Tribolium castaneum: one gene and its partners. The protein of the gene in region 5 purifies or fractionates together with the protein of the main gene of each other region. This does not show direct contact. Links are inferred from orthologs where the notes say so. Each region holds a gene or a part of one and is shown on either strand. Other genes may lie near its edges. The genes, in order: Polr3I, Polr2H, Polr1C, Pfdn2, Polr3B, Polr3F and Polr3K.

Region 1 (3,640 bases), on a different chromosome or scaffold from region 5:
CTTAGTGAATCAGTGTCGCCAACGCAAGATCTACACGACCGTGTCTATTTTGGGGTTAGGTTTGTTTCTCAAAAATTTCATTTTTTGGCCATAATGTCGGTGGAAGAGAAGCTCCAGATGGGCCCCAGAACGGGGGTGACGTACCCCTTGCAAGTGATCTACTGTGGCAACTGTTCGATGCCGATTGAGGTTAGTTGTCGCCCCTTCAGACCTTCCGAACTAATTCTTGCCCCAGTATTGCGAGTATTACCCCGAGTATGACAAATGCAAACAATGGCTCGAGCGTAACTTGCCCGATGAGTTCGAAAAAGTGAAAATCGGGGACGAGGCGGGCGAGGGAGGTGGCGCTGAAGAGGAAAAAAAGCGTCAGAAACGTGGGGGTAAAGGCATGATCAAGACGAAGAAGAAGGAGGACGGGCCGAAGCAGGTGTGTGTGTCGAGGGCCCCCCGCGGCAAGAAGAAGTCGGTTACCGTGGTTACGGGGCTTAGTGGGTTTGGTAGGGGGGTTAGGGGGCCCTGAGTGTCTTGTTTGACGCGTTTTTGTAGATATTGATCTGAAAGTTGCGGCGAAATTTTTCGGGACCAGGTTTGCGTGTGGGTCTTCAGTCACAGGTGAGGACGAAATTGTGATCCAGGGGGACGTCAAGGACGATTTGTTTGATGTGATTCCCGAAAAATGGCCAGAGGTACCACACTGACCGAAAAAAGTCACTAGTTATAGGGGCACTTGTTTTTGTTGCAGATTGATGAGGACTTGATTGAGGATTTGGGTGACCAAAAGCGATAACTTATCATAAATTCGTGTATTTATACTTATTCTCAATACATTATGTCGTTTTTCACGCCAGTGTTTTATTATTTACTATCCTAATACAATCACAAAATTATTCCTGCTCCTCTGTTGTTTCGTTTTCTTGGCTTTTTTGGATGTGGGGGAAGTGCTGAAGCACGATCTGTAAAATTTGCTCAACTTGTTCTTCCGTGAGCCTTTCTTCACTTTCTTCAATCATCTAGAAAACACACTTAGAAATAGTCAAATTTTGCGTAAGACCAACCAATTGAATCTCTAAAGCCGTCGTAGGGGGCGAATTAATCAGCATTAATTTCTCATTTTTGTTCAAATTAAACGGCTCCAAGTCCTTCAAACACTCAGTAATTGACTGTGGGCTTTGTTGGGCACAAGGAGTATTTTCCAAGTAACGCAAAGTCTACGAAAAAATTGATGAATGAAAGTCGGCCCATTTACGGCCACTTAATCTAATCACCTCATACGTAATCGTCGCTAATTGCCCCTTGTGTTTTTTCCGGCTGTCCTTAATCCGTTGTAGGTGTTTCATAACCTCGAAATTACTCAAAGTCGCGCTGTTTGCATTAACACTGAAAACACGCCTTAATAATACGTTACTCAAACGTAGCAACTTAGTCTTACATTTCCATCGCATTTAATAATAAAATTAAGAGTGCAAATTGCTTTATTTTTATAATTTTTGAACCACAAATTGGTGACAAATCCAAAAAACCCTAAACTTGTCACAAGTATGGCCAGGCTTCCTAACCTAGCTTTTTTGCGATATTTTTCAAAATACTCCTGTAAATTCGTAAGAGGTCTGATGACGACCCAATCGCGGTGCGAAAAGGCCTTGGACGAGCTTTCCAAAAATGCCTACTACGAGAAATACGCGGACAAAATCGCCAAACTACAAAAAACCTCCCCCCAGGAGTTCCTCTCCCGAATGGACGAACTCAAGAAGGCCAAAGCCCCGAAAAAGAAGCCCGAAACGATCACTGAAGGCAAGTTCTCGCAACTATTAAACCCGAAAAAACCGCTCGGTTCTGTGGAGGCCTCGGAGGCCCCCTTAGACAAAGTCATGAAACTTGACTTAATTAAGGATAAAACCCCGGAGGAAATTAAGGAGATTTGGCACCAGTACCACATACAGAAGAACTACATTGCGGCGGTTGTCCCTGTGGAAGATTACAACGAACTGGAGGCAAGGGGGCGCCAATACCCTACGTTTCTCTTCGCCTTGCCTCGCAAAGAGGGTTACGAGTTTATAATGTCGCAGTTTGAGCGAAACTGCGTCCACTTTACCCCCCTTTTGTACTATCAGGTGCACAAGGAGAACGCCCCCGAGTGCCTCACAATGACGCACTACACCGAACTAAAGGACGAGAAAAAAATCGTCTTGATGCGAGGAGAGTACGACAAGAATGTTATTGATTTGAAGGAGGCCCAGTGTCTCGCAAATCAGTTGCAATTGTATTACGTAAGGCCCACAGAAGCACACTTGGAACTGATGGAGCGGTTCACCAAGCGCCCCGACGAGTTCAAACACATGGACTTGATCAAACAAATCGAGACTTTGTCTTTGTAAATATGTATTATTTAATTCCTAATTGTAAATAAAGTTTGAGTGACATAACCTTACTTTTTGAGTTTTATTTCACCCAATTATTTTCTTGTCCCCAATGTTGATACATAAAGTCGATCATAACATAGCAAATGGCACTATGAGTATGAAATTGAGCGTTTTTTCTTGAATTTTACTGCGAAAATATGACATAACCTAATTTTTTGTTGGGCGAAAATTGGACCAATTTCAAATATTATGATAACTCAAAGGTCCTGTATAAAATGCGATTGTGCGAAATTGCCCAAATGATAGAAATTTTGCCGATTTTTATATTTTATTACCGCTTTTCACTATTTACGTACCAACCTACCAAATCCAAAATTTATCATAACTTGATTTTTTTAAATTTTTATCACTTATTTCACTATTTTCCAACACAAAAGTGCGTTATATTAACTTGAGTTACGTTAAAAAATCGAAAATAACAGTAAGGTGGTACAGTTCACGAACTACGGGTCTGTATTTTCTGACAGGCGTACCAACGCACCCAAATTCAAATCCAAATAAAACGCCATTTTACTTAAAATAATTTATTGAAATTAGGCACTTGATTGAGCTTAGAACCTCTCTTTCGGCTTCCTGAACACTTTCCCGTGCTGCGTATCCTCCAAGCAGGGGATTTGCACTAAATTAAAATAAATGGTCCCCATAATGTGCGCCGTGGGCGAGGGATTTTCCTTGAGACACGAATACAGCTGATCGTCGCACAAACAATGCGATTTCGTGTATAACGAATCATTCGTTATGTTATATCTTTGTGAAAAAGCCCTAACTTTAACGGGACACAAATCGTGCGCTCTGCAGCACTTATCAACGGTGGGCTCGGCCCCCAGGTCGTAGTAGTCCTTGGCGATGTCGCCCGTGCCGCACCACTTCGTCCCTGAAATTGACTGTGTTGGGAAAATTGGGTTGGTACGACTGCCGGGGATTACCAGGGATGATGCCGCTGAGGAGGACAAACGGGTTGTTGGCGAGGATTCCCCGGCCGGCGATTGGGTGCGCGGTGATGTTTTTGGCCAGTTCGTCGTGTACCGATTTGCCGTCTTCGACTTGTTGGCATTGGCGCATTAGTGTTGTCATTTCTTTGAAGGAAATTGCAACGGGGCGGGAGACGTGCTGGAAGTCGCCGAGGGCTTTGATGGCGTCTTCGGGTTGGCTAGGAACGGAAATTTTCACTGTTTTTTTCGCAAACAACCGCAAAAAATGTGAAAAAGTTTCAAATAAAT
Region 2 (5,151 bases), on a different chromosome or scaffold from region 5:
GACTTCTATAAACCGGTTCTTCAAATATAGCAAATTATTTAGTGTTCAGTACTATAACGAAATAAATCCACTTAGACCAGTTTTGAGTTTAGTTGTTTTGTTGTTTTTTGACAAAATTTTGATAAAACAAAAATTTTAAATCAATTTTTCACTTTCAAAATTGAGACATTACCAACTGTCCCAAAAATCCCTAATAACAATTTTTGTATAAAAACGACAAAAAAAGGCTAAAAAAACTAAATTCGTGCTTTACGACTGGTCTTATGTATGAAACTTGTTCTTTCATATACCATTATTTTTTTATACGTCGTCCACCAGGAAGAGGTCAATAAATTAATGAAATTTTTACAGTAGTCTCTATGAGTGATATAAACATATACATTTTTTTGAGTTGTTGTTTTTAAATGGAAATACCTTTAACCCCAAGAGCTAGAACGAACCACTATTTTAATGTTTTTGTTTAATAAAAACCACTCCTTTAAAAATACTGTCTTTAAATTTATAGAAAACACACAAAATGAAAGGTCAGATGTAATTTATAGTTTTTTATATTACTTTACATTTAATAGTAATTTGTAGACTTATAGAGAGAAAACGATTGACTGACTTATCTCATTATTCTGCTGAACAAATGTTCACAAATTTTCGGTGTTATAACAAAATTGTTTAATAACATCTAAATAAACCACTCTATTGCAAAAACAATTATTGCATTTGAAAGAGAGGGACTTTATAGCATACGTTTCTATATTTTTCTCAAAATGACAAAAATTGGACATATTTCGTTATAACATTGAACAGTGAAGACCCCATTTTTCACCTGTTAGAACCATCCAGTAAGCAGGCATGTATGACTAGATTTTTTAAACATAATTTAGGACCACTGGCGTTGTGCCACCAAATTTTCTGTTATTAATAACTAATTTGTGTTCTTTTCGTTACATTTAATCAAGTTACAAGTTGTTTTGTGGCTAATTATTAATCTTTTTCATGGATAACATCACAACATCTTATTAAATTTGAGTAAAATCAAAAATTGTCAACCCCCACTTTTTTTTCGCAGACCGACACTAAAAATAAATTGTGACCAAAAATTTATTCAAAAAGACCTATGCTTTCAATAAACACTAATAATAGTAATAATACAGAATAAAAACAAAAATTTTCACTTTTTGTTACAGTGTTATTACCTGTAATATTTTTAACTAATTTTTACTGGAACAACTGATTTTCTTTTTCTTTTTAACAATTTAATTTCAATATGATAGAAACAAAAATAAATCGCATTTTTATCATTTTGAAATGTGTAGGAGTACTTAATAAAATGTATTAACTTGGAAAATTCGAAGTGTAATATTTCTAAACGTCGGTTTAATTTTTTACTTTGTATTTCTTCTCTTTATTCATTTCAGTTCCTAATAACACTAGTTTACAACGTTTTTTGCCAATAGATGAAACCAATGCGTATCGGTAAGTCTAATACATTCACTTAATGATATTTTAAAGCAAATAAAATGTTTAACAATTAGTTCATCACAGAAACAACGGATGCTAAATTAGACACCAGAAACCAATTTTCAAAACTTTTAGTGAACATTAAAAAAAAACTAGATGTGATAGAAAAATGTAACATACAGGATGTTTCAAAATTGACAAATTCCGAGGTCAGAGCGTTGTAAAGAATCACTTCACTAGACTAAATGTAAAAACAAAATAAAGATTCGGAACTTCCCCACAAGGATACAGTGGTTTGAAGGTGCACGTCAGCTCACTTTGAATTGCGTTTTCTTCAAATGAAGGCTAAAAATTTTTCATTATTTTCATTTTTATTACTTATGATGTAGATGATTGTGGAAGATAATAATGTAAAACAATATTTCAAAAAATCAGCTTCATTTTAGAGTAAAAAATTTAAATTTTTGTAATTTTTCTTAAAAACAAAACGGCAAATTAAAAAAATTAAGATTTTAAAAACTCCAAAATAATATAAAAAAATAAATATAAATATAAAATAATAAAGCTAGTTTTTTGAGAAATCGTTCACAGTTATTATTCTTCACAATCATCGTCACCACAAATAAGAATAAACACTGAAACATATAGGCTGAATTAAAAAAAACGCAGTTCAAAGAGTAATCTTCAAACCAATGTATCTTTGTGAGGCAGCCCCGAATATTTTTTTGTTGGTAACATTTGAAGCCTTCTTTTTAATATCTGAATCCTAGATTTTAAACACTATTTTAAAACGCTTTTCCCATAGCAACGTGTTTTCATTTAAGTTCAAATATTCCAAAAAAAAAAATTTAATAACACTCATGCGAAAACGCTTTTAAAGTTCTCGAACTTTAAGTTTTTGTTTTTGCTCCCGTATTATTAATAACTCTTTTCGATGTTTGGACTACTAAAGCAATTCTCTACAGTGCTCAGAACTCGGAATTCGCCAATTTTGATACACCCTAAATGTTTTTTTAATACTGTGTTGCCAAATAGCCTGTATATTTTTGTTATCAGTGAGTAAGTAGAAAACAAAATTACCTAGTAGAAATGATTTCTTAGTAAAAGAAAAAAAATTGTAAACTAGTGTAATTAATATATCCATTTATTATCCCAGCTAGAATGCTCTAAACCCCTACGTGTTTCTTAATATGTATTTTATTGCTTTTTGTATTACAATTAATTCATGTAATTCATCAGTCTTCACAAATGATTCAAACAGCGAACAGTTTTAACAAAAATGGGGGCCGGCCCATGTCACCCATACACACCACCTACAAACCACACAAGTATTAAACAAAAATTAATACGTTAAAAAATTATTAGTATAAAAGTAAAATTTTGTAAGACTAATTTTGCATAATTCTATTAATATAAGTCCTTCAAGTAATTAATTCTAACCAAAAAAAATCTATTCTATCTGCCTGTTTTTATTGGTTTTATTCTTAATGCATTAAAAAAGACCAATCGATGCCACAACTAGGACACAGGTGGGGGGGTATAACCAATATTTAGAGTAGGACGGTATTATCGTATTAATAACCACATACACACGCTTTCCAAATTCAGAGGTAAATGAGACAAGATGTAAACTTTAAATACATTCAAAATTTAACACAATTTCGAGCAATTTTACGAAACGTTAAAACATAACCTCAAAAACGCCGGTCACACATCCAAACAAACAGACGATAAAAGCCACTTACCTCGATCAAATTTCTTTCCCTCAGGATCAATATCTTTCACGTTGAATATATCTTCAAACAGGACACCTGCCATCGTCGAATAACGTGTAAATAATAAAAAATTAACACACTTTAATACTTTCTTATGAAAATGGGCAAATTTTGACAGACATCAACACTTGACAGTGTTCCAACCAGTGCCGCCATCTGAAAGGCCAATTCCCCAAACAAAACCAAAACAAAAACGTCACTGTTTAAATGTCAAAGGTCCACTAGAAGTGTCAACACCAAACTTTAACCTAGTTGAAATTAATAATTTATTAAATGAAAATGGCAACACTACCCCCTAGGAGGAACCCCACACCTACAAAAATATCCAAACAGCACCTGACCCCGCTACAAATCCTCCTCCAGATGGGGTTCCCCAAACACAGAGCGTGAGTAAACAAAATGATAATAAACTTTCGGGTAACTTGAAATTACACACAGCGAAAAGGCCTTAGCTGCCACTGGTAACAGGGGCGTGCAGTTGGCCTCCGACTGGTTACTGGCCCACGTAAATGACCCATTGCTGGACGATAACTCTCCAAGGGAGTACATTTTATATGCGTGTCCCACGGGACCTTTCCTGGAACAGTTACAGACCTTCTGGGAGAAGTCGCACAGGGAATGCGCCTGGAACGGGGCCCACAATTTCACGCCGCACATTACGCTAGTTTCGTTTTTTAAGGTATTTCATTTGATAAATTTTGAATTCGTTTAATGATGTGTAACAGGCGCCTGATGAAGACGCCCTACATCTGGCGCAAAGCCTAAAGTCCGTAATGGAAAGGCAGGGCGCTATGTTGAACGAGCCCCTAAAACTAGAAACGTATACTTCTCCAAATTTTATGGGGTTTTTTGTGGCGGAGGAGCACGCTGATTATTTAAAAAGGATTGCCATGCAATATGTTAAAGAAGTTTCAAATGCTAGTAAGTCGATTTTTCTATAAACCAGTAGATGGGCATGTTTGTAACTTTGTTGGTTTTTGATTACCAGAAAAATATTTAGATAATGATTGGTCCTTATTATTACTAATCATGTTTTCTCAACATTGTAAATAAATTGATAACGACACATGCTTGCATGGTAATCAAATTACTTGTAGTTGTTCTTAATACTAGCATGACAATCTGGCTAAAGGTGGTGGTTATTTGCAGTTATTAGTGACACATACGAACATTTCGATGCTCTAACAGCCTGTTTTCCGTGGTGTACCACAACAACTGCTCGTTGCATTCCTCGGGGAAGTAGATGTAAGCAAATTGTAGTTTAGTGTAGTTTCCTCTAGATAATTATCATTTTTTTGTATTTATTTTCTATTAAAAGTTTGAATTTTTACTTTGCTTTTCCTTTTGTTACTAACATTTATTTATCCTTTTACTGAAGTTGCTGGTTTACTAACAGTTTTATATTCTCTTACCTATCATTATCCTAACATGTGAATTAGTTACCTTTTGTCTTTTGTTTTTGAAGTGTCTGAAAGAGAAATACAGCCACCATTAGTGGTTTGAGTCTTTATACAAAGTAAAAGTCATCTGCAGGAAAGTTCACCTTTTATTGCACATTTGATAAAATGTGACAGTAGTTAATGACCGATATTGAAAAATATGTTGCGGAATGTGTTTGTTTATTCCTTGGTTTTATAAGAGCTTTATAAGTCCGTCAGGCGGTGGCAAAATATTTACCAGTCCTTACCGATAAAACCTTTGGAAAAAGTGTCTTATATTTTTTCCATTTATGGAATAAACCTGTGATTAGACCAAAAGTAAGTACGATTATTGTGCATTGTCATTACGAGTATGTTTTCAATTCAAGAATTTTAGACAAACTTGCTAGTGATTAATCTTGATTTAAAGCAAATACTTTTATATTTTCCTTATGCGGACAAGGTGAATCTGCTTAAAATTTCATCTTAGTAGTAATTGTGAA
Region 3 (4,156 bases), on a different chromosome or scaffold from region 5:
TTGTCCAAAGTATTATTGAAAAATTCTTTGTTGGGCGTTTACAAAAAATTGTATATCAAGTTTCGTTGCAAAAAAGATATTAAAGGAGACTAGATTTTGTACGTTTGTATATTTACATTTCACAAATTGTTTAAGAATTATCGCCCTCTAGGTTTAGCGATTACACTAAGTAAATAAAATGACGGAAATATCCAGGATGTTTCATTTTAATTGCGTTTTTATGAATAATAAAGCGAGTAGAGTCTTGTAATTTATTGTTTTATAAATGAATGTGTAAAAATATAAAAATGACTTACATAACACCAAGTTCGCGCAATTTGCATTGGAGTTTCTTTGTCGTGCCTTCCCATAACGTCTGCAAAGGCTCTCTGGTGGTTGTGCCGCAAGTGCTAGTAATGATGTCAGTTGCAGCCTTTGAGGCCGCTATGTAGTCGCCTAAACAACATATTAAACCACGTTAAGCGGACTATTCTTTTACCTTGTTTCGCAATCACATCTATCGTCCTGTTGAGTAAATTCTGTGACGTTTGGGCGCTTTTTATCTCCCCTTCTCGCACAGCCACACAAATGGATTCAACCAGTTTTGGTAAAAAGTTCAGACTTGTGCCCATAATACACGTAAAACCGCTCGCAGCAGCCCCCAAAATTGCCTAAAAGTGGAAATTAAGTGGGAGATATGGCCATAAAGCCCCTACTTCGTCGGTGCCCATAAAAACGGTAAACTTTTCCCTATTTACCGCCATAGCAGCGGTGCTCTGTTGTATATCATTCGTGCTATAAATGACGCCTACAAACGAATCCACTTCTCCCGTTATATCCAGCAGAAACGACGTAATATCAACTAAAAATGAATTTTTTCGTGTCTTGTTCATCGTTCGAAACGCTTACTTTCAACTTGCGTAAACTTGGGATTGTGGTGATAGAGAATGGGGACGTTTTTTGTAAATTCTGATATTAATTTTATGTACTTGATTAGGTCTAGGTGGTTTTTTGGTTTGTTGTAAAGGTCGGGGAGGATTACAACAGCGCCGATGTCCCTCTTAGCGGCGTGTTTTGCCTACAAATGAAAAATATTAACAGTTTTAACAAATGTTTAAACTACCATTTCTATAACGTCTTTGAGGGGGGCTCCCCCGATTTGTGCCATCAAAAACTGATTTGTTTTTTCACAAGCGTCAGCCCACGCGTCCGCCAAATCTATTCTTTCATGAATGGTTAAGGACATTCCTTCCCCGGTTATGTCATTAACTAAAATTGACCATTTAATTTAATTCATTTTCTAGAGTTGCGAAATACTTAAAATTCCTTTAATATTGCAAGCTTTTAAAAAATTTGCGTATTTTGGTATAGCCTTAAGGTTTACATCAGGTGTCACTCTTTTTAAGTTAGTAAATGGGGTAAAGACGGGGCACAAAAGCCCCCGAAATTTAAATTTCTGTGCCTTGAATGCAGGCATTGCCGCTTTGAGGGCATGTTTCTTTGACGACATGTGTTTGTGAATGTCGGAAATCCCGCATCTGTAATCCTTTTTACAGAATTTGCAGTAGAAATACGTATTTCCATGTATGCTCTCTGATAACCATGCTTTCAATTCGGGTTTATTCTCCCATTCTTTTTTGTACTTTGGTATGTATTTCTGCGGGAAGGTGGTTGGTTTTTCATTTGGTGTACTGGTGACTTACCTTCGAGTTACTGTCTCGTGATTTCTTTGACGCTGGTTCAAGATTTTCGTCTTTTTTGTCGTCTTGTTTCTCATTTTCTTCTTCGCTGTCTGACTCTTCTGGCACAAAATCGGCAAACAGAGCCTTAGCCGTTTCAGGTGTGCTTATTTGTGAGTCTTTTTCAGCCTTGCTTTTCGTGTTTGAAGCTTCCTGTTTGGAGCATTCGGGTTTCGTCATATTTTTCAAAAATTGTTTATATTTTTCACAAAACATAACCTAAAAAGCTGACATTTTAAGTGGCTTTTGGGTGGTAAGGACGGTAAGGTTGGTAGTCATTTTTACGAAAAACGTGCGTTGTTTGAGGTTATCCAAGTTTTTGAAACAAGTTTAAAATGGATAATATTCTGAATGACGAAAAGCCTCGAGTGATTTTAGGAGAATATAAAGTGACGCAGGTATGTCCTTTATTATTTTGTATTAAATTCCTTCAAACATCCTTTGAAGAATTTGCCCTCGGAACCAACTGTTTTGGACGAGAAATGGGACTTGAAAACCTTTAAGAAGAGATTTAGGGTGGTGATTGTGCGAAGTGAAGAGAATGAACTCGAATTTGACTTGATAGGGATTCACCCGTTCCTAGCAAACACTTTCAGAAGGTTAATGTTGAGTGATGTCCCCACAATGGCCATTGAAAAGGTTCACATTCTTAATAACACGTCTATAATCCAAGACGAAGTTTTGGCCCATCGTTTAGGCCTGATACCGCTAAAGGCCGACCCCCGATTATTTGAAATGAAAACTGATCGTAAGTCTTGTAATGTTGCCGTTCCAAACGTTACAATATTTTTACAGCAACTGCTGAAGGTACCGAACAGGATACTCTAGAGTTTGCGTTAAAAATTAAATGTACCAATAATAAAGACAGCAGTAAAGACTCACTGCGAGCTGAAGATATGTACAAAAACAATAATGGTAATTACCCCGTTTGAGAAACAATAAAAATTGCAATAATTTTAGTGTATTCAAAACACATCAAATGGGTGCCCATTGGTAAACAGAAGGAGCGGTTTAGTGACGTGGGCCCCATCCACCCTGACATTCTCATTGCCAAAATGAGGCCAGGCCATGAGTTAGATTTAAAATTATTAGCAGTCAAGAGCAACGGGCGAGACCATGCGAAATTTTCTCCTGTCGCAACCGCATTTTATCGCCTTCTTCCCGACATAAAATTATTACGAGAAGTGGAAGGTGAAGCAGCTGAGAGACTCCAAAAATGTTTCTCTCCCGGTGTGATTTCAATCCGACATGAAAAAGGCCGCAAATACGCTGTTGTAGCTAATGCGAGGTATGATACAGGAAGTCGGAATGTTTTCCGTTATGAAGACCTCAAGGACGCAGTAGCGATGACCAAAATTCAGGATCATTTCATTTGTAAGTTTTTTTTTATTTACTTTTTCAGTTTTTATTAATTGTAATTTAGTTACGGTCGAATCTGTGGGGGCTTTACCACCTGATGTGATATTCATGGAAGCTGTTAAAATATTAAAAGACAAATGTCTTGCTTTATTAGATGAATTAAGTCATGTATAAACATTTCACTTAATATACTTTTATCAAACCACAAAAAATATAATGAACAAGGTTAAAAATAAAAAACATTTGACGCGTAAATTTTTGCTACCTTAAACCTTCCTTCACCTATTGTCTAGTAAAAAATTAAATTGTAAATTGACTGGAATCGGAAAATTATTGCCTAGGCGTAATAACTGGGAGGCACTGTGAGATCACTTAAAACTAACAGTTCTTCCTCAGTAAATTTGAGTTTGTGGATTTCCCAGTTTTCGTGATGCGTTCGCTTGAAATCTCCCAAGGTTTTGCGAATTGTTGCCTAAAAATTATTAATTATTTTTTTAAACGACGAAAGTGTGACTCACAGGAATGGGTTGGGGGTCGTTCAAATGGGGTCCTAATTGTCCAAAAACATCCGGTAAAAAGTCAGGTACGTCGTATGGATGGCTATTGATAAAAGCACACAAGCCCAAAACTCCAGCATGTCTAAATCTTAAAGTACTAAGATTCAAACTGTTTGAATTGTTCAAATTTTTCTTCTTCAATTTAGTTTTCGCTTTCTGTTTAAATTGCGCCTAGAATTCACGAATTATTTAACGATAAACTAAGAACCCGAATAATTACTAATAATTCTTGAGGGTTTGGAATAAATTGGCAGTGCAAAAGACCGCTTAAAACTTGACTAGCACTAACTCTAACTTCAGGTTGAACATCTTCGAGTAGTTCTAGCACCATGTGTTGTATATCTAGTACCCACTCCTTTTTCGAAATAATCGTGGGCATATTGTGGAATACAAAACCGGACATGAATTCGGTTATAACCGCACGAGCCGACCAGAACGGACAAGTGGCAACTTTTCTTATTGCTTCAAGGGCCGAAGGCATGTATTTGTCAATAGTTATGGTGTAGGCCAAAACTGCGAGCA
Region 4 (3,634 bases), on a different chromosome or scaffold from region 5:
ACACTGTATGGAACTCGCGGGACTTGAGTAAATCGGTTATCGGCCAAAGATAAGTGCGTTAAATACGTATGGTTGCTGAAAAAACCATTTTGGACGTCCTTAAGCCCAATATTGTCGAGACTAAGACGCACAATGTTGGGGTTTATGCCGAGCCCGGAGTCGGTTAAAGTCCGGACTTGGCTCAACGACTCTCCGAGAGAATGGTTATTGTAACTCAAATCCAAAACTTGTAATTCTACAAGGGGCGAGAAAGTCGCGGCTTGTATCACATGGATGAAGTTGAAACTCAAATCCAAATGAGTTATTTTTGGGTTTTTTTGGAAAATTTCGTCACTGTCGAGACTTTCGATGTTGTTGTGACTCAAAACTAGGATTCTCAGGTTGGGAATTTCGGCGAAAAAGCCATAACTGATGAAACTAATCGCGTTGTAAGATAATTTCAACGTTTCTAAGGTCACACTTGAAAATCGCGTTTCGGTTGCGTCCAGTTTTGTGAGTGAGTTGTGTGATAAGTCGAGCAGGTTGAGGTCTTTAGGTAGCTGCTCTGAGGTCGGGAAATAGTCGAAATTTGTTCTTACGCAGTCGGCTTCTGTGGCAATTAAATCTTCGCTGTCGGTGATGCGTTTACAGATACAGTTTTTCTCTGCTTTTCTTACGGAACATAGCTGGTTTAAGGCCTCGTTGTGGTAAAATAATAAAGAAAAAACAAGAAGGAAACTAAACTTAAACATTGTCTCACTAGAACAAGAGGAAAATCTTTTATCAGTTAACTTATCATGATGTTTTTTCTAAACTGAGTCACTTCACATACTGACTACTGATATCTAGAGCAAATAGGATTTAATAAATGATTGGTTTATTATTTACTATCTATCTTTTTTTTATCTTAGATAATACTTATATTGTAATTTAATTATATAATTAAACCAGTTTTTTTTAATGTGGTGAATATTAAGTGCTTTAATTTATTAAAACTTATTAAGGCTTTCATTTGAATTTTTTAGAGAAATAATTTAAAGTCATGGTTAGGCAACCAATAATACAGCCACAAAAAACGAAAGAAATTTAATTGTTTTTTTTTGTTGAATATGCAATTGAGATTATAATTTATTGGTGCTTACGTAATTCGTCATTGGGTAATGGGGGTAAATTAATAAAAAACCACTTACAAATTAAATTTTTATTCGGATGAAATATGTTACATTACCTTGCAAAAAACCAGCACAGCTCTCATAGAAAAAGATGAATTTGTTAAATGCCGACCAAATTCGAATGAAATACATAAAATAAATATTCTACAAAAGAAAAATCCTAGCTTAGGTGTAAATAAAAAAAGCACATGCATATTTAAGACACTAAAACATTTCCTCTACTCTCTGAAGCCGCCACTTGCTCCTCCTGTTTCGGGGCCGGATTATCCAACCCTCTAAAGCTAATGTTATACTTTTCCCTGTATTCATTAATCTCCACACCTTTCTTCGTGATTTGTTCTTTCAACTTTTCAATAAGTTCTTTGAGTTTCTCCAAATTCGCAACAAGTGCCGGAAGAACGTCCTTCACTTTTCGCTCAGTTAAAACCCCCCCGACTAGTCGGAAGCAACGCCGGTCTTCGTTCACGTTTTGTAAAGTGGCGATGACCATTCTGTAAAAGCGAGGTTATGTAACATTTTACAAAAAAACCGGCAACCACGAAAAAAATTTCATTTCAAAAATGAAAATTTACTCAATTTTGAGTAATTTGCCGTGGGTTTCGCCGCCACAGCCCCACGTTTGGGGCCACAACCGGGCCGGAAACTTACTTGTGTTCGTTGGAATCGGCTTCGAATTCCGTCAGTTTTGATGAAAGGGTGCGCTGCTCGGCCCTTAGCGCTTGAAAGCCGTTCAGGATCTCCTCGGGCGTGAGCCCTTTGGACGATTTCTTTTTCGAATCACTTGCCATTTTTGGTAAACATAAATCCGGAATTTGAGAAATGTCACTTTGTCATGGTCACGTGACGCAGCCACATGATGTAAACCTGGCGGAAAGAAAAAACCAAGCGCGTTTTTGCCAATTTTGCGATAACCAGACAATGTGGATTTTTTTTCAATTGAAATTTATCTTCCCGGGTCTAGACTACGTCTATTTTTTTCCTCGTCTCGGTTTCTTTGACTGAAATTCATTGGAAGGAATTGCTCTATTTAGTGTTTTTAGTCATTTTTGGTTTACACGGTAGCCATGTTGCAGCCATAATTTATGGGGCAATTAAATTGCTCCTAAACGTAGGCGTTTACATTTTATAAACTCCGATTTAGTTTTCAGTAAATTTTGAATAAATTTGAATAAAAAAGCATGTGTGGAGTGTCGGAGGGAATTGGTTACGTGTGTGGGGAAAAAACGGTGCGTGTTCCAAGTGCCGTTTGAGAAAAATGATCCAGTTTTATTAGAAAAACGCACACAAGCCGCCGCACTAATTTAAATGCAATTTGTAAACGATTTACGCAACTCTTACGAAACAAATCCCAAGAAAATGCATTCCTCCTGAGCGAAACGAACCCCGGAAGTGGCCTAAGGCTCCAAATAACGGAAATTGTTTGGATTTTTTATGCACAAATACATGTTTACGAAATGTCATCAACGTGAGGAGTCATTGAACTTATTAGTGAAATAATCAGGATTTTTGACGAGAATTCCCGCAAAAGTGTTGATAAAGAACCACTCATGACAGTTTCTTGCAAAAAAAATCCGGCTTTTGGGAAAATACATGGGCAACGAAACTGGACGAGATATGGAGACTGAATCCATAAAATCGGAAAACAGTTCACGATCGAGACGTTCACGGGGGCACCGCGACCGCAACAACTACCGACAGCACTCCCACAGAAGCACCAGGTTCGTGCCCAAACAATTCTGGACCATCTTGAAAGTAATTTTTTTACAGAAGCTCCAAGTCTCGCAAAAACGACGAGATGGCGCCCTTCCAGACGGCCGTGACCCTCACCCCCGACAACCGCGACGGCCAGGAGGTCATCGAGGTGCAAATCCTGCCCCAGGACGACAACTGGGGCGAGAACACCACTGCCATCACCGGGAACACGTCCGAGCAGTCCCAGTCGACCGAAGACGTCAGTAACTGGCCCGGTGAACCTGACACCGGGCTCTCCTTCGTCTGCCAAAGATACATGGGGACGGTGCTAACGTACATCCTTTCAATAGTTGCCTTCTTGAGCCCCTTAGCCATGGTCGTATTGCCAAAACTGGGGTTCTTCCCTGCGCTGTCCTCGCGGCTGGGACTCGCAGACAGCGCGAAATTGTTAGCTTGCGGGGCCGAATGTAAAGGCCAGTTGGTGTCGTTGGCGTTCAAAATGGCCATTTTGGCGGTCGGGGCCTGGGCTGTGTTCTTGCGCAAGCCGAATGCGACCTTGCCAAGGTTTTTCCTGTTTCGGGCGGCTGTCCTAGCCTTTGTTTTAGTCTGTATTTTCGCCTATTGGCTGTTTTATATAGTTCAAGTGACCGAGACTGCGCGTGCCGCCACCACACCGGAGGAAACGGTGGATTATGAGGCCTTGGTGGCTTACGCCTTAAGTCTGACTGATACGCTACTTTTTATCCATTACTTGGCTGTAGTTTTGATGGAGATCAGGCACCAACAACCGA
Region 5 (5,216 bases):
GTACGCAACAGAAAAGTTTAAAGAATTTTTAAACTGATTATTAGAATATTAGAAAATGCTAATTAGTACATCGTCAATTAGTACTTTAAAAAAGTGATCATTTTTTGAAAATATTTTTTTTAGTTTTACTGCGGCGATTTTTTGGTAAAAGATTATACTCTAAAAATTACTTCTAATTCAATAATATTGTTTTTGAAGCAGTGTTTTTTTTAAATAAAATATTAAAGTTGCGTTCCAAGTTCATTACTACGATTTTTGGAATTTGTATCTATAGATGTTTTTTATTAGAGTAATTTGATTAGTAAAATTTTTCGCAAATAAAAATTATTTTGTGGTAATTACAAATTAAAAAAATAATGATTTGTTAAAGTGCAATGCTCATTAGGTGACTATAATAAAATAAATAAAAATAAATCATTAAAACTGTTCTAGCGTTCTAAAGTGTTTTTTTTTTTATTTTTTCAAACACAATAGCAATGCCAATTAATTGTGAACACCATCAGTAATTGAACTTTTCTTTGTCATTCTTAATAAGTTATTAATTTTATCACCAACGAGCTTAGGAAATGTAATAGACAAAACTTTTTATTTAAAAGAATACTCATTTTTCCCATGTTCCGTTCAAATAAGCTTTGTTAGGAGGTTGCACAATGAGTGATAGTAAAAAGAATTATACAATTCACACAGTATACTCGTACATGTTACTTCTCAATGTTCTCATGTTCTCACAGAATTCATGTTTTTTTACAATAGATATACTTATTTCGTCTTTTGATATGTAAAGTAAAAATAACTGCTAAAAATAGTTATTAATAATACGAGTGCGAAAACACAAGCTTAAAGTTCGAGGGCTGTCGTTATGCAACGAGCGTATGCGAGAACCCGGAACTTTAAGCGTTTTCGCATAAGTATTATTAAGTTTTTTTTGTTGGAACATTTTACTTTAAAACACGTTGCTATGAGAAGCGAGTTTTAAAATAGTGAAAACATTAATTTAAAACACGTTACTATGGGAAGCGTCTTTTAAAATAGTGAAAACACGCTGCTATGGGAAACGTGTTTTAAAATAGTGTTTTTCTATTTCGGTTTCGTACTGAGGTCACTTTCATTACGATACGCGATTTGCGTATCGTAATATCCAACGGAGTTCTATAATAATTACACTAAAACCAGGGTAATTTATTTGGATAATGTTTACAACCTAGTTTTCTGACAATCATTTGTTTCAAATGTATATTTTAATCAAATAAATCAAATATGAACCTTTAGAGGCTCTTGTACCATACATGATTCAGTGCAAGTAAGTAATTTGAGATCTCATATACTAATATAGTCTAGGATTCAGATATTAAAAAAGGCTTAAAATTTTACCAACAAAAAACATTTTTTTAATTTACCACTTATAGAAAACTTTGTATATAATGAACTGATTTTGATGCATTTTCTGAATATGTTATAACTTACAGCCGGATTCCACTGTATTTTATTTGCTATTTTAGATTGTTCAGTAAGTTTTTATAGGCAACCAATCATACGATTTTTCGAACGGAGGCTTCTTTCGTAACAAAACACGGTGGCAAAGTTTCTTTTCTAAATCTGACGTCCCTTAAGTAGCATATCACCTAAAAATGATTTTTTTTATTAATTTTAATTTTTTATTAATGACAATAAATTTCATGGCAATGTAAAAGTATACTAATTTCACATTACATTATTTGGATTTTTATCAGTACTTACAATTTCAAAGTACCCATAAAAAATTATGTAAAGTATTTGTGAAATCTGGTCTTTAAAACACACACTATATAAGTATATAGTATAAGACTAGTATATATAGTATAAAACTATAGTATATTAAAGTTAATATACTATTAAAATTTTGAAATTTTTAATAGTTTTTGCAATCGTGTTTTAATGCAACCGAAAAAAACTCAGTTCGAAAAACCGTATAATTGGTTGCCTGTACACCCAACTCTCTACACCACATAACCTACATGTTTAACTTCACATTTTCAACATGTAAACAAATAGTTATTAAGCGTAACAGTGATAAACTAATTAATAAGTTGCAACAAAAAGCGCTGAAATGGATTTTGACGATCCCGCCCTTCTCAAAAAACCAATCAAAGAAATCGAAGTAATTCAAGTTTCAAATTACAAAACCTAAAAGGTATTCAAAAATCATTTTTAGGAAAAATGGAAACTAGTGCCCGCCTTTTTAAAAGTCAAAGGATTAGTAAAGCAACACATTGATTCGTTCAATTACTTCATCAACGTTGATATTAAGAAAATCGTGGAAGCCAACAACAAACTAGTTTGTGATGCCGATCCTTTATTCTACGTCAAGTAAATTATAAGGCGCTTTATAAGTTTGGTTTTATCTTAATTTCGTAGATATACAAATGTTTATGTTGGACGACCGGACGTTGACGAAGGCTTCAACATTAGCAAACCTACAACCCCTCATGAATGTAGGCTGAGGGACATGACGTACTCAGCCCCCATTTCCGTAGATATTGAGTACACTAGAGGCACTCAGCGGGTATCCAAAGCTGGTTTAATGATTGGCAGGTAATTTATTAGAAAAATAAAAAAAAATATTGTAAAAACACCAATAATTTTTTTAAATAACAATTTAGAATGCCAATTATGCTCCGTTCCTCCAACTGCGTCCTCACCAACAAATCCGAGTACGAATTGGCAAAAATGAACGAATGTCCTTTAGACCCCGGCGGCTATTTCGTCGTCAAAGGCCAAGAAAAAGTGATCTTAATCCAAGAACAGCTCTCCAAAAATCGAATGATAGTTGAAGAGTCCAAATTTGGGGTCCAATGCGCTGTCACCAGCTCCACACATGAGAAGAAGTCGCGAACCAACGTCGTATGCAAGGCCAACAAGTACTACCTAGGACATAACTCCCTAACTGACGTAATTATTTTGTGCATTCATCGTCAAATTCCCAACAAATTTTTGCAGTTAGTCCCTGTTTCAATCATCTTCAAAGCTTTGGATGTGACAAGTGATAAAGAAATCTGCGAATTGATCGGAGTTGAGGATATTTCTAAACTCACTCCAACGTTAGAGGAGTGCCACACTTTAAAAATTTACACTCAGCTGGGGGCACTTAAACACATAGGTTCGAAATTAGTAGCTAAACGTTACGTGACGTCTGCTAGCAAAATGAAAACGCCAGTTGATGAAGCGAGGGACGTTTTGGCGACCACTGTTCTAGCCCACGTGCCTGTGGAAAACTACAATTTCAGGATGAAGGCCATTTATTTGGGAGTGATGGTCAAAAGGTAAATAAAAAAGTCAGATCATAATCACCGGGTGACAAAAAATTGAAATTTTAATTTGGCAACCCTGAGTATAAAATTCTCTTGTCAATTGTCTGAGTGTTGCCAATTTCAAGGTACAATATTTAACAATTTTTTGTAAAAAAGGGTGATTGAGGCACAGTCGGACAAGAAATTCATGGATGACAAAGACTACTACGGCAACAAGCGTCTCGAATTGGCCGGCTCTCTCCTTTCTCTTATGTTCGAGGACGTTTTCAAACGCTTTAACTGGGAACTAAAATCCATCGCTGAAAAAACCATCCCAAAAATCCGAGCGACTCAATTCGACGTTGTCAAGTATATGCGCTCGGATCTGATCACCAATTGTCTGGTCTACGCAATTTCGACGGTAGCCAATCACAAATCGCCGCGATTCGGCTTCTGATTGGTCGGTTTCAGGGCAATTGGACCATCAAGCGATTCCGAATGGAGCGTTTGGGTGTGACTCAGGTTTTGTCACGGTTGAGCTACATTTCCGCTTTGGGGATGATGACCAGAGTTAATTCGCAGTTTGAGAAAACGAGGAAGGTTTCAGGACCCAGGTCTCTGCAGCCGAGTCAGTGGGGAATGCTGTGTCCGAGCGATACACCCGAAGGAGAGGTATATAGTAAATTTTGTTTGCTTTTTTATACATAATATTACGGAGCAAATTAAATTCTCTGACTCTTTTTTGTCTTACGCCATTTAGTTCTGTTTTTATCATTGATTGTCTAGCAATAGCGTTCGCACGTTTTTAAATTGTGCTCGTTGCTCGCAAAATGCAAACACTTCAGTTAAAACCATACAACAAAAATTGATAGAATAAAGTAGCTGTTTGGTGATTTTTTTATTCGATCGGTGAAAAAATTAAAAAAAAAATTCTCGATGTACTTATAGGGAAAAACGTTCTATTATACACGTAAAGAAAAGTTGGCATTATCTGCTCGTAATTCCTTTCAGAAACCCATCACTCACAGATAATGAACAGCTTTTCTTTACTTGTATAATAAACGACTATTTTTTAACGATTACCAATCTGGTCAGCTGGAATAAGTATTATTGGTTGCATATTTATAGAAATTCAGAATAACTCACTATTGATTCACCCTGTATAGAAGTCTAACTTTACTAATAATTAAGCTACAGAAGACGGGAGCTGAGCAGGGTTATCCTGTATGAATGATTTGTATAAAATTTCCTTTTTTTTTGTTAATACGACTTCTTTACCTTGTCAGGCTCTGTTGAGCAGAGTTTAAAACATCGAACGCAAGCCAATGCTGTAGTTAATATAGTTATTAATAATACGAGAGCAAAAGCTTAAGCTTAAAGTTCTAGAGCTGTCGTTATGCAACGAGCTTATGCGAGTGTAATTTAACTTTTTTTGTTGGAATATTTTAATTTAAAACACGTTGCTGTGGGAAGCCTTTTTTGCTAAAAATTAAGATAGGCAATATCTATAGTCAAAAATTTTATTTACCAAAAAAAAATTCATAACTCGAAAACTAAAAGTCGTAGAGCAATGCGGTTTGTTCCATTGAATTCAGCGGCTTATTTTGCGTATAAAACCATCTTTTAACAAGATGTAAACTTTTAAAGTTTTTTGCTAAAAATTAAGATAGGCAATATCTATGGTGAAAAATTTTATTTACAAAAAAAAAAAAATAATTCATAACTCGAAAACTAAAAGTCGTAGAGCAATGCGGTTTGTTCCATTGAATTCAGCGGCTGATTTTGCGTATAAAACCATCTTTTAACAAGATGTAAAGTTTTAAAGTTTTTTGCTAAAAATTAAGATAGGTAATATCTATAGCGAAAAATTTTATTTACCAAAAAAATTCATAACTCGAAAACTAAAAGTCGTAGAGCAATGCGGTTTGTTCCATTAAATTCAGCGGTTCA
Region 6 (3,914 bases), on a different chromosome or scaffold from region 5:
TGTTTGTTTGGGGGCGGTATGACTTGTAGCACGTGCGAGTCCTTCCACTTGGTTTCCGTGAACGAGGTTTCCACGTTTTCGCCGATAAAGTACCTGTCTTTGGTGAACAAGTACACGTCTTCGGCCATGTCAACAAAGGACGTCCGTTTTGTCTGACTCGCCAAGTACAGGAGTGGTATTTTGAGCTCAGCTGGGAACTCTTTGAGGCTTTTCCTCGCGTTTTCCTCGCTTTCCAGCGCCTCGGCATACGTTAAATTCGGTTTTCCCGTCATCGCACATGTCCAAATCATCGAATTGCACAGGAACATCCTCTCGGAGAAGTCCCTGAAAAGCCAAGCGTTGAATCGATTCCGATCTCCGATTGCGTTAAATTTGAGGTCGATGGCGTAGGTACAGTGGACCGTTAGGTCAAGCGTTTGAAAGCAACCACGTTCCAAATAACCCGCCGCAAAAACTCACTCGTAATCCCGGAAAATCTCGTTGGTGGCCCCACAGTAGAAAACTTCCTCGTCATCGCGGATATCCTCCGGGACCGGCGCTTTTTCGAAGGGCTTTCTCCTCAAAAGAGGCATCGCAATTTGGAGGGAAAACTCACGACTCCACAACAAGTCTAATCAGAATTGCTCCCACATTTACAACACACACAACGCAACACTGATGGATTAGCAACCAAATCTGACATGAAATGGCGAGATTCAAAGCGAACTAACCGAAAATTTCCGCAATAAAATTGCGTTTCTCACACCATTCATGACAAACAGACAACCTCTTCGGCTTCGGGGCTCCGGCGCATGCGCGGAGCGCAGGTGACTGCCAAAAGCTGTGCCCAAGAACGGACATTTAAAAAACCTGCGACCACCAAAATGTTCCACACTTTTTTGTGGTTATGTTCCCCCACAAACATAACCTTAATTAATTAATACGGGATAAAAAAAACACCAGTTTGTTGCGAAACACTTTATTCGAGCCATTCCGTGAAATAATTACAAACTTTCGGGTTAATAAAACCGGTATCGGCGCACCTGCTGGCTATGGGGCAAACCCCACAAGTGGTTGTCACAATGCCAGGTGTTTGCATAAATTTATTGACCGCTCGGTACAAAAACGAGCCGTTCGTGGCCACAATCCGCTCCGCGTTATTATCCAAAACAACAGTATACAAAATGCTCTCAATATCGTCCACTGACAGCGAAATTTTACTAATCCCCAGCTCGGAAATAAATTTGTGGACGTCTTGCGCCGTGGCGTAGCTCCGGTTTCGGGCCAGGAGCGGGCCGCCCCCCATGCTGTTCGCATCCTCCCACTTCTGGCGCAAATACCGGCAGCACTGTTGGCTCAAAACGTCCACAAACTCCGACTCGAAGTCCTGGTCCTGGTACCAGGCGCCCCCCGTGACCGAACTGTCGGCCTCCAAGTCGTACAACATGTACACTTTTTTCTTACTGGCCGAGACTGACTTTACGGCTTTGATTATTTTTTTCGTCTCGAGACTTTTGAGGACTTTGTTTAGTTGCGTCATGTTGAGGTTGGACTTGAAGCGAATGTCTCGAATCCAAATGCCCTTGTTGCCAGCCTCTTCGATTATCTTAAACACGACTTTTTCCTCGTTGTCGGCCCCCCGAATGGCGGGCTTCTTCGACGAGTCTTTGTATTTGTAGAGGAGCTTGTCTTTGGTCTTGAACAACTCCAAGGAACTGAAAATTTTGGTTAGGAATAGAATTAGGGGGTGATTGCGCCCACGAACCCATTTTTTAAACACTTGTTGATTATCAGGGCGAGTTCTTCGAGGGGTAAATTAGGAATTGCCTGTTTTATGTTCTCGTTTGAAATCCCCTCAGGCTTGGCCTTGGCTAATTCCAGTAAACGGTCTTCGTTACTTATCTCTTCGCTGTTTGAACTCGTAGCTTGGCTCATTTTTGGGGTTATGTGAGGTTATGTTCTAACCTCAAAATTTTGGCCTATTTCTATTTTTGCCGATTTTTTTTAGGAAAAAAGGCAAGAAATGAGCGCCTGGTCTTTGATAAACACATTTAATAGGTGTGGTATAAGTTTGGAGTAATTGGCACTAACTGTGACATTTTTTAGGCTAGCCCTCCAGTCGTGCCCAAGACGGGGAATTGCAACGAGTGTCTTTCTCAATTTTAGGGCAACACCATGTCTCATGTAAGTAATAACGAAACGAGGCCCCCAATTCACCAATTATCTAGGGCCGAGCCTTTGAAGAAGAAGAAAAAACTAGACCCTGCAGTTATTAAAGCACGAGAAGACCGCAAGAAGAAGAAAATTGAGAAGCAAATCCGGCGATTGGAGAAGCACGCGCGCCAGTTCAAACCTATCGAAGAGTGTGAAGTGCCCCTCACTCTGTTAGATGAGAAAAAATCAAGGATGAGGTCTTTGCCTGCACTTTCTGACAGTGAATTGGAACAAAGAGCACTTTTGGACAAACAATGGGCCACTTATCGGAAAAATGAGCATCTTACGGACGTCCAAATGCTGGACCGGATTTTCTTTGCGCAACAAAAAGCCTTGGATGAGCTGCGGAAAGAGTCGGAGGAGTTGTATCAGGAAGCAATGCAGGTGACTGGGGCTTTTTTTCGCAAAATATATTTTTTTGTCCAGATTGATTTCAGATTATTGCCCTTTAAGAGCGAGGGGCCTTTGGAAACGCCAGCTATCGACAATTACGAAAGCCCGGACGGTGATTATGCCGATGTTTCGAAAAAATGGGAATGAAAAGGAAATAAATAAAGTAGGATAATAATAAATAGACAAAATTTGTTTTATTCACACTTCAAAATCACTTCAAATTCACACTTTTTATTATTGTTTACGTAACAAATTACGTGTCCGACCGTTTCAAAATAATAAAAATTGCCCCTATTGTTGGTAATTTGATGGTAAAATTGTCTCAAGGCGCCCTAAACCCCAAACCCAGCACAATGATCCCAGTTCCGGACCGAAGAGATAAAATAAATTTAGCTTATTTACGTCAGCTCATTTGAAATTGTAGGTTAGGTGAATCTATTTTCGTCCAAAATTCAAGAATGTAGATAAAAATTAGCCCCCGAAATGGTGCAAATAATGCTAATTATCGCCGCCGCCCATTTGGTATACTGCCCATTTACCAAAGTGGAGGAAAGCTTCAATTTACAGGCCATGCACGATATTTTGTACCACAAGTGGAACCTGTCTCAGGTAGGCGCCCCTTGTCTCGCCCACAAATAACTGTGTTTCTAGTACGACCATTTGGAGTTCCCCGGAGTGGTGCCGCGGACGTTCATCGGCCCCTTGTTCATTTCGATTTTGGTGGCCCCCATAGTCTCGCTTTTGCAGTTGTTCGAAATTAACAAATTTTGGGCGCAATATATCGGTAATCAAGTTGAAAAATAGTACAAAAATTGTGATTTTTTATTACAGTGCGGTTTGCTTTGGGGGGCTGCGTTATCGCCGCTTTCCACGTCCTGTCCCGCACTTTGGCCAAGATTTTCGGGCCGAAGTGGCAGCTGTGGTTCATGGCAGTGACGGTGACCCAGAGCCACTTTATGTTTTACTTGAGCCGGCCCTTGCCCAACATTTTCGCACTGCCGCTGGGTAAAAGCCCCCATCTCCCTTGATTTTAATTATTATACGACCGGTTTTAGTGCTCCTTGCGTTGAATAGTTGGCTCAAAGGCGACAGCAAACAATTTATTTTGCTTTCGGGGGCCGCTATTATCATATTCAGGGCCGAACTGGCCCTCTTCCTCGGCCTACTCCTACTGTACGATTTGATCAATAAACGAATCACTTTGAAACGGTAGGTCAGTAAGGCGAATAAATCACAATTTGAGCTTATTTATTCCTTTCAAGGTTTTTCCAAGTGGCGCTTCCGGCCGGTGTCGCATTCTTGCTACTTTCGGTCGTTGTTGACTCGAT
Region 7 (3,452 bases), on a different chromosome or scaffold from region 5:
CTTGTGTAAGAAAGTTTTGACAACTGTTTGGCATTTCTCAATGCGAAACGTCAGATTATTTTTGACAAATTTAAAATAAAATAAAAATAAAATGTTGTATTCATCTCGTTTTTGTGTAAATCGGTGACCACTCGACGTTTAAAAATCCACTCAGCAACAGAGCGTCAGATTTACACTCAAACTCGGTAAATAACTATTAATTATGAGGAACTGTACCAAAATTCTGAATTATGTGCGTTAGTTTTTGAGAATTGGAAAAAATGCTAAATCCTTTGTTACCTGGTCTATGATTTGTCGATGTGATATGACAAGTAAGGGGGCCCAGAAGCTGGGCTCTGGCCGTTCGTCAACATCTGCAATGGCCCTTTTGAACCTTTTACTCAAGGAGTCCTTCAAACCGTGCAGAAAAATAGCTTCAATCGTCATACACAGCGTGTTCGAAGCTTCGGTAACATCCTCAGCTTTATTGAGTCCATTTTCTTCAACTCCGCAATACTGTATCGCTTTCACACTATTCGACAAGTGATCCGTGATCGACTTCTTAATTAAATTGTCTTTATTACTCGACGTGTGCACACTTTTAAACAACTTATTCATGTTTGTTAATTAACCCGAACTTGTGCAAAATCGCAACAGTTTTATCAACCGCAATACCGTGTCGCACGATTGTGAACAAACCGCATTCTGATAAGTCAATAACGGTGGACGCACGTCGTCTCGAATCGTCAAGTCCTAAATTACCACCGTCAAAAACTGCACCAACCTGAGCCCACAAGTCTTGAAATTCGTTGATTGTTAACGAACTTGGCTCGTTGCTTAAATTGGCACTTGTGAGGGCCAAAGGGCGTCCCAAACCGCGGGCCAAAGCCCGAATAAAGTGATAATCGGGGATTCGAATCCCCACTTTAGCGTTAAAACTGAGTGACTTATCAAGTGTGCTTGCACTAGTCAGAATGACAGTCACTGGGCCTGGGAGCAGACTTTCGAGCAAACCTTGGGGCAAGTGCCCGATTTTGGCCCAAGCCTTCACCTGGGGGACGTCCCCGAGACAGATCGCCACAGGTTTGGCTTCGTTGCGCCCCTTAATGCTATAGAGTTTGTTAATTGAGGTTATGTTCGTCGCGTCACAGGCAAGTCCGTAGACGGTGTCCGTAGGGAGGGCGATCACGCGGCCCGACTTTAACAAATCAACGGCTAAAGCCTCAGCATGTGGGTCCCTGATGGGGACGTGCAATGCCATAGAAGCCCGCTTCGGGGAGAGTTTTTTGAAAAGGGGGGCGAAAAAACGCATCGCCTACTCTCGCCAGTTGTGGGCGCATTCGGGGTTGCAGCAGCGGTAGAAGTTGGTCATGGGCTCGTCAGCAGAGCGGGTCTGGACCTGGAGGAAGTAGGCGTGGGGGTGGCTGCATTCTGGACACGTTTCCGCTGTTACGTCGCAGTTTTTCCAGGCGTCTTCGCCGCCGAGCACGTCATCAACGGACTGAAAGCGTGACGGAGTTGGAACAATGATAGTGGGTTATTTGGGTTTTACCTTCACTTGGAAGTACGTGCGATTCGAGATTTTTCCACGAATGGGGAATGACACGGGGCAGATGCGACACGCAAAACCTAATCGGCCGCAGGTCTGTTGAGCGAATAGCAAATTTCCACAGAAAGGACAAAACACAACCATGACCCGTGATTATTATGATGAAATTCAACTTGAATTCACATGTGTCAAAAATTGACAATGACAGCGCACGGTGGGTTGGCAGCGCTGGGGCGAGGGCACCAACACAAAATTCGTATTCTATTTTATTTAAATTATAAATTATAACAAATATTCAGCCACTTACGGCCTTAGTTATTTTGTCAACTAATTACTTCACTAATTTGCTCCGCTTTTTATATAGTCGAATTAAATAAGACATATTTTCAATTAAAATAAACAAGGACAATTTTACAATGATTAATTTAATTTAAAATAATATGGTTCAAACATTTTCCTATACCACATTACTTAACTAAGTAATAAAAAAATTATAAGAATTACAAAGAAAAATAATTAAAAACGTTGTGTTTTATGGGTTGCCTATACTAAACTCGGTGGTATTGAGCACTTGGTTCATTTTGTTAATTTCGTTTTAAAGGTTTTGATTTTTATCTCTCTCGCTAAATGAGAATTCAATATAATTTTTTCAATTTTCCTGACAAAAAAAATAAACACTATGGTAATTGGTTCAAAATCATTAGGATAATTTACAAGGGCCGTAGCCAGCGTAGGGCCCCACAGGGCGAAGCCCTTCCTAAACAAATTTCAGGTCATACGTTTTATAAAAATTTAAATAGAGAAGTTTATAATATTTTTTTTTCTTTCTTTGTTATTACTTAAGTAAATTTTGAAATAGACATCATTTTAGCTATTTCAAAAACACCATAAACATGGATGTTTTTTATTTTTTAAAGTTGAAGCGACAGAGGGTCATCAGATGGACATGCAACATCAAGTATGCATTTTTTTTTTAAGAAAAATATATCTAGTAATAATTATTACTCCACTTGGATTTTGACTTATTTTTAGCAAAATTTAATAACAAACGAGAAAGGAAATTAAGCTTTATGAATTATGTTAGGGGAAATACCTACAAAATAACATACATCGTTTGGCAAAAGTATGAAGCTAATTGTTATGTGCCTAAACTATGTACTTTAAGAAAAACTAATTATTACATTATCAACTACTTTAAAAATATTTTTTTAATTCCTTTTAGTTTTCGATTTTTTTTTCAAATAGCACCCTACTACGGCAATTTATTTTTATATTATATTTATATTTTTTATATTATTTATATTTTGTTTTTCTTCGTTTGTTATGTATTTTTGATCCTTTATAAACTTCATTAATAATAATTTACCAACATGAGTACATTTAAATTTTCTTTGCCCTTCTATTATTCTATTCTACGAGGGTGGGATGATTAAGTCGTGGCCTCACATAGAAAATAATAATTTGGCCAAACATTTTTTGCTTTACTTTTCACTATAACCTCCTTCTAGTTATGTGCACTTGGTCAATCGGTGTTCCGAAGTCTTTATCCCATCCTTATGGGTCGATTCCGGTAACTCTTCAAAAAAATTGCTCTCTATAAGAGACCACGAATTAATCCATCCTTGTATTGATAATTCAGGGAGAAATAAGCCTCATTTAAAAAAAATACAAAAACTAATTTTTGACACTACAGAAGCGATATGTAGAAGATTTCTTATTACAGTTGAAATACTCAATACAGTCGTTCCTTTTTGATGTTTGATCATTGATCAATGATCATATTCTAACTCACACAGTGCACATTTCCTACAGTGCCGTACTGAGCCTCGGATTCGTGGAACACGGGCCCGGGTCCCGATGGCCCTTTCCTTTGTCTAAATACAAATTAAAAAAAAAATAAAAGTTATAATATTTTTTATTAGCC

Evidence for each region.
Region 1: the proteins of Polr3B (region 5) and Polr3I purify together in Homo sapiens (affinity purification with mass spectrometry; 5 studies listed by BioGRID and IntAct, with this or other methods). This does not show direct contact. The link is inferred for Tribolium castaneum from reciprocal best matches to the Homo sapiens genes POLR3B and CRCP.
Region 2: the proteins of Polr3B (region 5) and Polr2H purify together in Homo sapiens (affinity purification with mass spectrometry; 5 studies listed by BioGRID and IntAct, with this or other methods). This does not show direct contact. The link is inferred for Tribolium castaneum from reciprocal best matches to the Homo sapiens genes POLR3B and POLR2H.
Region 3: the proteins of Polr3B (region 5) and Polr1C purify together in Homo sapiens (affinity purification with mass spectrometry; 7 studies listed by BioGRID and IntAct, counting the BioPlex papers as one, with this or other methods). This does not show direct contact. The link is inferred for Tribolium castaneum from reciprocal best matches to the Homo sapiens genes POLR3B and POLR1C.
Region 4: the proteins of Polr3B (region 5) and Pfdn2 purify together in Homo sapiens (affinity purification with mass spectrometry; 3 studies listed by BioGRID and IntAct, with this or other methods). This does not show direct contact. The link is inferred for Tribolium castaneum from reciprocal best matches to the Homo sapiens genes POLR3B and PFDN2.
Region 6: the proteins of Polr3B (region 5) and Polr3F fractionate together in Homo sapiens (co-fractionation; 4 studies listed by BioGRID and IntAct, with this or other methods). This does not show direct contact. The link is inferred for Tribolium castaneum from reciprocal best matches to the Homo sapiens genes POLR3B and POLR3F.
Region 7: the proteins of Polr3B (region 5) and Polr3K purify together in Homo sapiens (affinity purification with mass spectrometry; 6 studies listed by BioGRID and IntAct, with this or other methods). This does not show direct contact. The link is inferred for Tribolium castaneum from reciprocal best matches to the Homo sapiens genes POLR3B and POLR3K.

What each region holds. Positions count from the first base shown.
Region 1 is NC_087399.1:3,366,274-3,369,913, reverse strand, and holds Polr3I (DNA-directed RNA polymerase III subunit RPC9), read right to left. Parts: upstream 1,539-3,640; 5' UTR 1,438-1,538; coding exon 1,430-1,437; intron 1,378-1,429; coding exon 1,266-1,377; intron 1,209-1,265; coding exon 1,056-1,208; intron 1,011-1,055; coding exon 885-1,010; 3' UTR 789-884; downstream 1-788. Other genes in the region: DENR (density-regulated protein homolog), read left to right, coding at 94-189, 236-497, 547-686, 743-787; ATP synthase mitochondrial F1 complex assembly factor 1, read left to right, coding at 1,539-2,375. UniProt on the Homo sapiens protein: DNA-dependent RNA polymerase catalyzes the transcription of DNA into RNA using the four ribonucleoside triphosphates as substrates.
Region 2 is NC_087396.1:10,332,221-10,337,371, forward strand, and holds the start of Polr2H (DNA-directed RNA polymerases I, II, and III subunit RPABC3), read right to left. Parts: upstream 3,337-5,151; 5' UTR 3,274-3,336; coding exon 3,201-3,273; intron 1-3,200. Other genes in the region: Epp (ecdysteroid-phosphate phosphatase), read left to right, coding at 3,504-3,616, 3,669-3,909, 3,956-4,151, 4,380-4,475. UniProt on the Homo sapiens protein: DNA-dependent RNA polymerase catalyzes the transcription of DNA into RNA using the four ribonucleoside triphosphates as substrates.
Region 3 is NC_087396.1:18,340,450-18,344,605, forward strand, and holds Polr1C (DNA-directed RNA polymerases I and III subunit RPAC1), read left to right. Parts: upstream 1-1,941; 5' UTR 1,942-2,053; coding exon 2,054-2,116; intron 2,117-2,165; coding exon 2,166-2,466; intron 2,467-2,513; coding exon 2,514-2,633; intron 2,634-2,678; coding exon 2,679-3,092; intron 3,093-3,141; coding exon 3,142-3,251; 3' UTR 3,252-3,332; downstream 3,333-4,156. Other genes in the region: N-acetylneuraminate lyase A, read right to left, coding at 293-435, 479-650, 696-841, 889-1,057, 1,103-1,248, 1,297-1,636, 1,683-1,934; proteasome activator complex subunit 4, read right to left, coding at 3,415-3,549, 3,596-3,805, 3,855-4,156. UniProt on the Homo sapiens protein: DNA-dependent RNA polymerase catalyzes the transcription of DNA into RNA using the four ribonucleoside triphosphates as substrates.
Region 4 is NC_087397.1:2,598,936-2,602,569, reverse strand, and holds Pfdn2 (prefoldin subunit 2), read right to left. Parts: upstream 2,017-3,634; 5' UTR 1,940-2,016; coding exon 1,800-1,939; intron 1,643-1,799; coding exon 1,348-1,642; 3' UTR 1,166-1,347; downstream 1-1,165. Other genes in the region: chondroadherin, read right to left, coding at 1-731; Vang (van-gogh), read left to right, coding at 2,766-2,869, 2,919-3,634. UniProt on the Homo sapiens protein: Binds specifically to cytosolic chaperonin (c-CPN) and transfers target proteins to it. Binds to nascent polypeptide chain and promotes folding in an environment in which there are many competing pathways for nonnative proteins.
Region 5 is NC_087398.1:9,957,977-9,963,192, reverse strand, and holds the start of Polr3B (DNA-directed RNA polymerase III subunit RPC2), read left to right. Parts: upstream 1-1,943; 5' UTR 1,944-2,086; coding exon 2,087-2,137; intron 2,138-2,191; coding exon 2,192-2,346; intron 2,347-2,394; coding exon 2,395-2,571; intron 2,572-2,639; coding exon 2,640-2,928; intron 2,929-2,976; coding exon 2,977-3,299; intron 3,300-3,443; coding exon 3,444-3,687; intron 3,688-3,737; coding exon 3,738-3,938; intron 3,939-5,216. UniProt on the Homo sapiens protein: Catalytic core component of RNA polymerase III (Pol III), a DNA-dependent RNA polymerase which synthesizes small non-coding RNAs using the four ribonucleoside triphosphates as substrates.
Region 6 is NC_087396.1:20,820,921-20,824,834, forward strand, and holds Polr3F (DNA-directed RNA polymerase III subunit RPC6), read right to left. Parts: upstream 1,915-3,914; coding exon 1,745-1,914; intron 1,695-1,744; coding exon 959-1,694; 3' UTR 943-958; downstream 1-942. Other genes in the region: Acf (bromodomain adjacent to zinc finger domain protein 1A), read right to left, coding at 1-324, 460-572; mRpL40 (large ribosomal subunit protein mL40), read left to right, coding at 2,003-2,037, 2,086-2,163, 2,208-2,577, 2,620-2,733; Alg12 (dol-P-Man:Man(7)GlcNAc(2)-PP-Dol alpha-1,6-mannosyltransferase), read left to right, coding at 3,070-3,195, 3,238-3,370, 3,418-3,591, 3,642-3,795, 3,849-3,914. UniProt on the Homo sapiens protein: DNA-dependent RNA polymerase catalyzes the transcription of DNA into RNA using the four ribonucleoside triphosphates as substrates.
Region 7 is NC_087403.1:7,844,331-7,847,782, reverse strand, and holds Polr3K (DNA-directed RNA polymerase III subunit RPC10), read right to left. Parts: upstream 1,758-3,452; 5' UTR 1,673-1,757; coding exon 1,532-1,672; intron 1,481-1,531; coding exon 1,295-1,480; 3' UTR 1,292-1,294; downstream 1-1,291. Other genes in the region: Plekhm1 (pleckstrin homology domain-containing family M member 1), read right to left, coding at 280-597; Tcs1 (threonylcarbamoyl-AMP synthase), read right to left, coding at 590-1,291. UniProt on the Homo sapiens protein: Core component of RNA polymerase III (Pol III) which synthesizes small non-coding RNAs using the four ribonucleoside triphosphates as substrates. Can mediate Pol I proofreading of the nascent RNA transcript.